2 separate regions of the Mus musculus genome follow, and region 2 is reported to be linked to region 1. The links are microRNA targets in miRTarBase. Many come from high-throughput screens and were not tested one by one. Region 1 holds a microRNA gene; the other region holds the end of a gene's coding sequence.
Evidence for each region. The annotated mature microRNA mmu-miR-470-5p reads UUCUUGGACUGGCACUGGUGAGU and lies in region 1 at 2,070-2,092, opposite strand. An mRNA with a match to its seed (bases 2 to 7 or 8) in the 3' UTR can be bound and repressed. Matches are read on the target gene's strand: a 7mer-m8 pairs with bases 2 to 8, a 7mer-A1 pairs with bases 2 to 7 and ends in A, and an 8mer does both.

Region 2: miRTarBase lists Colec12 as a target of mmu-miR-470-5p. Seed matches in the 3' UTR shown: 7mer-A1 at 3,492-3,498.

The regions. Positions count from the first base shown.
Region 1 is chrX:66,811,926-66,816,325 of GRCm38, forward strand. It overlaps Mir470 (microRNA 470), which reads right to left and starts at 2,100; the gene lies at 2,026-2,100.
Region 2 is chr18:9,876,475-9,880,874 of GRCm38, reverse strand. It overlaps Colec12 (collectin sub-family member 12), which reads right to left. Exons shown (of 10, transcript NM_130449.2): 10 at 2,880-3,887. The coding sequence ends at 3,868. Among named protein-coding and RNA genes, the nearest start is that of Thoc1, 80 kb to the left of the region's middle.

The DNA of each region.
Region 1 (4,400 bases):
TTTTTTAGTATTTTATTGAATATATTTGCATTAATATGACAAGATAAATCGGCCTGAAATTCTTTTTCTTAGTTAGCAGTATTCCTTCTGCTTCTATTTTGTGCAATAGTCTGAGCAGTACTGGCATTAGCTCTTTCTTTAAAAGCCTGGTAGAATTCTGCACTAAAACCACCTGGGCTTTTTTCTTTTGATAACTGTTTCCCTTTCCTTAAGTGTTATAGGGATGTTTCAATAGTTTACTTGATCTTGATTGAACTTTGGAAATAGGTATCTTTCTAAAATGTCTTACAATCTGTTAAAGATTTTCCAAATTTATGTAGAACAGGCTTTTAAAGTAAGAGCTAATGATTCTTTGAATTTATTCAATTTTATTTGTTAATGTCTCCCTTTTTAATTCTGATTTTGTTTATTTGGATACTGAAAGTAGGGAAACCTCACAATGGGCCGAACAGGGCCATAGCTACTTTCCATTTTTTATGGAGGTCCCTTCATATGCTAATAGCCTGGCACCTCCCAACAGTGGGATAGTTGGCTACTCCAGAGCTTGTATCAATACCCCATTGGTCCAAAAGCTGTATAAAAACACTTGCAAATGCACAATACATTAGATCTGTACTCAGTGATGATCTCTAGAGTTGATTTCCCCAACTCCACTTGCCAAAACTGCTCCTGAATTCTGGTTCATCCCACAAAATAGGTTAGAACAGATAATACACTAAATGTACAAAATAAAGAAAAAACTGCAACCACAAAAAGGCCAGGTATAATCTGAAGAATAATTTATCAATATTATACCTGCCTTTTCAACAGAAACAATAACAGCCACAGGGCCTGAGAAGATGTCTTACAGCTTCTAAGAGACCACAGATGCCAGCCCAACAAAATTTTTGAATCACTACGAATGGAGAAAGCAAACTATTTGATGATAAAATTAAATTAAAACAGTATTTATAATAAATAAATTAATTTTAAAAATTACTCTAATGAAAAGAATATATTGTCTTTTCAGCACCTCATGGAACCTTTTGAAAATTGGCCATATCCTTAGACAAAAACCAAGTTTCAAAAGATACAACAAAATTGAGATTACTGTATTATTTCAGATCACCATGGATTAAATCTGGACTTTAATGACGGAAACAACAAAAAGCATACAAACCCAGGAAAACTGAACAACTTCCTACTAAATGACTCCTCAGACAAGGAAAAAAAATAAAGACCCAAAGTTATGGGAACACAATGAGAGCAGTGCTAAGAACTATTTGGGAAAAAATAGGCGAGACCTTATTGGAGAAGTTATGTCACTGGGGGTGGACTTTGAGGTTTTAATAAAAGCCATGCAATTCTCAATTAGCTCTGTGGCTGAAGATCAGGATGTAAATGCTCAGCAACTACTCTATTGCCATTCCACTTGTTTACCATCCTGTTCCCTGCCATAACAGTCTTGAGTGCTCACCTCTTCAAACTTTTCACCACCCATAAGAATGTGTTTTTTGTTGGTTTGCTTTGTTCTGTTCTGTTTTGGTTTTTTATTAAGTTGGATCCTTTGGCATGGAGCATTGTCTCAGCGATAGAAAAGTAACTAAGCCACCTTCTATTCAACAGGTTCCACTTTTATGTATTTTATACCATCAAGACAAATATAACCACCTTCAAACAACACATACAATAGAGAACTGGTATAGTTTATCTGCTCCATCTGATTTCATCATTCTTCAAACAAAGCTTTATTTTTGAATGTTAACTTATTTATTTAAAAATACCATGGAAATATCCTTTATGTTATATTTCTTCCTGTTGGTTCTATGAAAAACAACCAATTTTCTTTGTTTTACATTTTTCTTCTATAGAAAGGAACTTAATATTCTTTTTGCTCTGGTTCCGTAATATGTTAGTTTCCGTAACTATTCATATTGAAACCTATATTTGAAGATATTCAAATCTACCTAACATTAGAAAGTGTCCTCCAAGGTCCTTATGGATAATCCACTATCTTGATTCAGGAGCCTCATCAAAAGAATGTGATGAGCTTTACTCTTCTCAGAAAGGTACTGGTTGTATTTAGTTTAACTCACCAGTGCCAGTCCAAGAAGAGCACTGCACACCACAGCTTCAATATAGAGACATTATTTCAGCCATTTCCATCATGATGTTCAGGTTTTATCATAGACCAAATAGAATATGAAAAATAACTATGGACATAATTTATTCTAAAATTACCTTAGGATAACCAACACATTTTTTACAGTAAATTTCATTCAAGGTACAATGCATATTGTGGTTCATAACCACCTATTACCCCTGTTCCCAGAAATGTAATTCCCTCTTCTGAACTGGTAAATATAAATATATGGATACAGAGCATCCACATACACAAAATAACCTCCCTCCAAAGCAGACAGATTTCAAATGCATAAATAATTAATCATAGTACTATGGAAAAACAACATGAACAAGCCAAGCACAGAATCAGTCAGTAAAAAACAGACAAAATAGAAACAAAAACTGCAATAAAGAATCAATGATTATTCTGGTCCACCACCCTGGAAGAAAGTCAGAATGGCTACGATCAGTAACACAAGTGAGAGCTAATTCTGTCAAGGATGTAAGATAGAAAAGGAGGACACTCCTCAATTGCTGGTGGGATGAAAACTTATACAACTACTTTTGAAGGCGACAGCTTCGAAGAAAATTGGGAATACATTTACCTCAAGACCTAGCTACATCACTCTAAGACATATACTCAAAAGATGTTCTACCCTACTACAAGGATACTTCCTCAACTATGTTCATAGCCACTCTATTCATAATAAGCCTAAGCTGGAAACAATCTACATTTTCCTCAATTGGAGAATATAAAGAAACTGTGGTACTCAGCCATTAAGAACAAGGACATCATGAATTTTGAAGAAAAACATATGCAACTAGAAATATCATCCTAAATGAGGTAACCCAGAACCAAAAGGACACACATAGTATGTATTTACTTATGAGTACATATTAGCCATTAAGGACAGAATAACCATGCTACAAAACACAGACCCAGAGAAGATTAGTAAAAAGGAGGGTTCAAGAAGGGACATAAGAAATTCACTATGAAGGAGAAATAGAATAAACATTATTGGTGAAAGGGGGGGGGGCTCTGTATGAAGGCATGGCGATGAGAACAGGAGGGATTTGGTGGTAGGTAGAAAAGAATACAAGAAGAGAAACTTGAATTTTGGAGTATCTCAGGGATGAACTAGAAATCTAGTCCAACAGTATTCACAGGAGTCTATGCAGTGACCTAAGCAATGGGGCTATTGTTCTAAACTGGCCATCTCTGAGACATTAACCCAGTCACAAAAGATGCAACATACAATTTGCTGTACTTATAACGTGTGCTACGGTAGAAGTAGAACAGAAATAATGAGAATGGACAACCGATAACTGACCTTGAGAGCCATGCCACAAGATGAGGCCTACCCATGTCACTGCGTGGAGGTCAAGAAATAAGAGGCTGAATAGGTCAGAGACATGAAATGGCATACCTGGCACATGCCTGGTACAAAATTTTTAAAAAAGCCAATGAAATGATGCATAATGATATTCTCCTATACACATAGATTGGTGATTACAGTTGTCTATAAGGAAGCAACGTTTTACTACAGAGCAATTGTGATAAAAACTGCATGGTACTGGTATAGAGACAGACCAGTAGACCAATGGAATAGAATTGAAGACCCAGAAATGAACCCACACACCTATGGTCACCTGATCTTCGACAAGGGAGCTAAAACCATCCAGTGGAAGAAAGACAGCATTTTCAACAATTGGTGCTGGCACAACTGGTTGTTATCATGTAGAAGAATGCTAATCGATCCATACCTATCTCCTTGGACTAAGGTCAAATCTAAGTGGATCAAGGAACTTCACATAAAACCAGAGACACTGAAACTTATAGAGGAGAAAGTGGGGAAAAGCCTTGAAGATATGGGCACAGGGTAAAAATTCCTGAACAGAACAGCAATGGCTTATGCTGTAAGATCGAGAATTGACAAATGGGACCTAATGAAACTCCAAAGTTTCTGCAAGGCAAAAGACACCGTCAATAAGACAAAAAGACCACCAACAGATTGGGAAAGGATCTTTACCTATCCTAAATCAGATAGGGGACTAATATCCAACATATATAAAGAACTCAAGAAGGTGGACTTCAGAAAATCAAATAACCCCATTAAAAAATGGGGCTCAGAACTGAACAAAGAATTCTCACCTGAGGAATACCGAATGGCAGAGAAGCACCTGAAAAAATGTTCAACATCCTTAATCATCAGGGAAATGCAAATCAAGACAACCCTGAGATTCCACCTCACACCAGTCAGAATGGCTAAGATCAAAAATTCAGGTGACAGCAGATG
Region 2 (4,400 bases), not on the chromosome of region 1:
CTGTTACAGCTCAGAAGCAACCACCTCAGGCACTGCATTAGTTTCCATCACTACATACTCAACAAACGCAAGGTAGAAGAAGGAAAAGATTTTCTTTCATTTCATAGTTTTAGAGGCTTCAGAGGTCTCTTGCTCCTACTGCCTTGGGCTTATGGCAGTGGGAACAATGTGGTAGCAAAGGCCCATCTACCTTATTGTGGCCATGAAGTAAAGAGATAGAAAGACATTTTCCCAGTGACACAGTTCCCTCTCACAAGACCTCATCTCCCAGTGATGCCATAGGCTGGGGATCAAACATTTGTGTGTGACAGAAAGTAAATAAACCAATGAACCTGTGTTTTAACAAGTTTGTTTATAAAAACAGACTATCGGCCATATTTGCTGATTCCTAGTCTAGTGTGAGCATGTACCATATAAAGAACTTACTACAATCTTTCCCTTACAACCTCCCGTGTGTGGAATGTCCCTAGTGGGATTCAAGACATGCTTGTCAGCCTGTCTCTGACAAAGAAAAATTACTTCCTTGCTTTCTACCCAAGGTTCCATTTTTTCCTGGCATGGAACCAAGCCTGCTTTAATGGGAGCTACTACTCTATAAAGAACTGTTCCCTCACTTACCTGGGTCAAGTTATTAGGTGTCTGCAATGACTTAAAACTTGTTATTTCCTTAGCTGAACCAGGTACTTGAAAGATTTCTAAACAGAGAAAGGAACTAAGAGCATGACATGTATCTTTGGAGCCAGACACTGTAGTAGGTGATTTCTGCATATCACCTCATTAAAATTTGCAATGACTCTGTGAGACAGGTATAAGTATATCCAGTGTACATTTGGCAAATTCAAATATCACAGTTAATATACTTGCTTTTTTTTCTGTTTTTTAAAAAAGTTTGTTCATTTAAAAAAAATTAATCCTGACTGAACTTCCCACTCCCCCCATTCTTCTCACTCCCCCAGATCCACTCTTCCTGTTTCTCTTTAGAAAAGAGCAGTCCTCCCAGGAATATCCACTGAATATGGCATAACAAGATAAGTCTAGGAACAAACCCTTTAAAAAGATTTTTAAATTTTTTTACTTAGGTGTCTGTGTGTATCTGTGTGGGTGTATGACAGCTGTGTCATGGAGGCTTTTAGTTCCCTGGATCTGGAGTTGTAGAAAGTTGAAAGTTCTCCAACTTGGGTGCTGAAAACTGAACTCAGATCCTCTGTAAGAGCAGTAACTGAGGTTTGGTTACAGATCAGATTAAAGAAGAATTAAATATGAATAAAACAGTTCACTTTCATGTGTCATGTGGAAAGGCTTAAAAGTCTCTCTTTGTTGAGGTGGTTCACATGCTCAATTTATCCATTATGATTTGCTGTTGTCGTTAAGGACACCTTTGATTTCCCATGACATATGTACCTTGTCTAGTATAGAAATTAATAACTGAAGAGGTTAGGCAGGTCTTAAAATTTTAATTTCCTTTTCTTTTGGCTAAATATTACATCCTAGGGTTCCAAGCTTACCTGAAATGTTTATATGTGATCACTTCTCTGGAAGCTTACACTTTATAAGGGAAGAAAGAATATAGGTTGTAACCTCCTTCCAGCCTAGTCAGGCTGGCTCAGACCATCTGCCACTGAGGCAGAGCCACCTGCTGTGCTGCTTCTCATCCCTCTCCTTTGATGTGCCATTACCTGCTACCTGCCTGAGGCAGAACTGGTTTCCCAAGATCTTCCAGAGTTAACATTGAACTGTGATTTTCGAGAGTTCCTGCTAAAAGACTGATCTGACAACTTCACAAGAAACTTAGCTGGGAATGGGCCTCCCCTCTTCTTTATAAAGCGTGTTCTCTGACATTAAAGTTGAACCTTGATCAGAATATTGTCTTGGTTCCATTTCTCTCTCAACCTGCCTAGATTCCCTCTTTTCTTTCAGTTCCAAGATGCATCCCAGGCTCAAACCCAGACATGAGAGCCACAGGCCGGCCCCAACAATAGGTGACATGGGACAGGGGCTTGGACAACCTTCACCCTCTGCCTGAGCTATGAAACAGATGCAAAGACAGGAGTACACACAAGTCTTAGAATCACAAGGGAAGATTCTTTTCAGGGTTCAACAAATAACCAAAAGTTTACTTTTGCATTTCATTTAGCCCATGTCTTGGAGTTATGCTTTGAGAATTCTACTTTCCAAATGGCATGTAGCTGGTTTCTGTCTTGCAAGCATCACTTGGCTGCCTTTGTCTGATGTGACATTATAATCTCTTGCCTGCTCTGATATGAGTCTGACACTAAGCCTGTTTATAAATCAGCCTTAAACCAGGGCCTTGGAGACACCCAGATTCAGGTGCTCTGTCCGTCCCCACAGATGCTTCTCCATCATTCCAGATCCACAAAGTAGAACAAAAGCACATCCCAAGTCAACACTTCCTTTCCCTCTTTCTTTCTTTCTTTCTTTCTTTCTTTCTTTCTTTCTTTCTTTCTTTCTTTCTTTCTTTCTTTCTTTCTTTCTTTCTTCCTTTCTCTCTCTCTCTCTCTTTCTTTCTTTCTTTTTTTTTTCTTTTTTGGTTTTTCAAGACAGGGTTTCTCTGTGTAGCCCTGGCTGTCCTGGAACTCACTCTGTAGACCAGGCTGGTCTCGAACTCAGAAATCCGCCTGCCTCTGCCTCCCAAGTGCTGGGATTAAAGGCGTACACCACCACTTCCCAGCTTAACACTTCCTCTTACTGGAAGTGGCCAGTGCTGGGCTAGTGGCACAGCCTACTTGAATGAGCTGTCATGATGTTCTCAGGCTTGAGCTCCGCCATCACCAAAATGTACAAGGGCATTTCCAGATGCTTCATGTGATTCACGGTTCTGAAGAAATCACACAGACATAGACACATACAACAAAAATTTTCTTCAGCTGGACAGATTAAATCTGAAGAGAAACTCCATGAAATTTTATTAGTACCGCTATTATTATCTTTGGCTTTATGTATCATATAGGTACATTAAAAAAAGGAAAATGATTGTAAAAGGCAAATATTTTGTATAAAAATACGAAGTTTAAAAGCTCTTTAAGTATATTTCATATTATTACTAAAATGTGGCCTATATGTGTGCATCTGCATATTTTTCCTACATTTGGGATTTTAGAAACACACTGTTTACACAGAGCCAGTGTACTGGCTAGTTTTGTGTCAACTTGACACAGCTGGAGTTATCACAGAGAAAGGAGCTTCAGTTGAGGAAATGCCTCCATGAGATCTAACTGTAAGGCATTTTCTCAATTAGTGATCAAGGGGGAAAGGTCCCTTGTGGGTGGGACCATCCCTGGGCTGGTAGTCTTGGTTCTGTAAGAGAGCAGGCTGAGCAAGCCAGGGGAAGCAAGCCAGTAAAGAACATCCCTCCATGGCCTCTGCATCAGCTTCTGCTTCCTGATCTGCTTGAGTTCCAGTCCTGACTTCCTTTGGTGATGAACAGCAGTATGGAAGTGTAAGCCGAATAAACCCTTTCCTCCCCAACTTCCTTCTTGGTCATGATGTTTGTGCAGGAATAGAAACCCTGACTAAGACAGTCAGTAACTCAACAACCAATGATAGTCTTTTTCTGATTGGAGCATTCCATATTTGGAAAGATATACTTTGCATAAATTCTATGGTTAATGGCTGAGAAAATCTATGCGATTCAGTCCATTTGTACACTGGAAATCAATATATCAACTTGGGGGAGCATTTTAGCCCCCTAGTCCTTGGGTTATTGTGCAGTAGGTGTCCATTTATTTTGAATAACTACTTTTCAGAGCTTTTTCCATTCAATCTGGTGAGAAGTGATGGAATCAAAAACGAGCATTCTTCGGCTTTCAGAGGCATCAGAAAATATGTTTCTGCTATTATATCATGCTGTTATAATATGGATGATGGTACTGAAACAGAAAAAAAAGGATGGGCATTAGTTTTGTTTGAATAATAAAATTATTAACAACTTAAAACAGGAGGAATCTTTAGGAAAGAGCACAAATGGCATTATTGAAAGAAAAATGTTGGGAAGTTGTTTTTTTTTTGTTTTTGTTTTTTGTTTTTTCCAGATTAAGCAATGTGGAGCAAGCAGACCGTGCCACCAGACAGAAAAACTGGTAAGATTGAAGTAAGTTCAAAACCCCGGAGAATCTCAGAATTGAAAATGGTAGGTGTGGAACCAGTTTCCTGCCAAGCCAAGCTCTACCTGTTCTGGAATGTGTAACCATGACACCCCACTGAGAGGACCATGACAACTCATCACATAACATAAAATTCTGGAGTCCTCCATGCTGACCAGTTATCTAGATAGGCTCCAAATGTTTAGCCAATGAACTTCCCTTATTGGGCTTTCCTTCCTGCAAAAGGTATGTAACCCTTGGTTCACCATGAGTAAGACACATGCATTTACATTTACCATA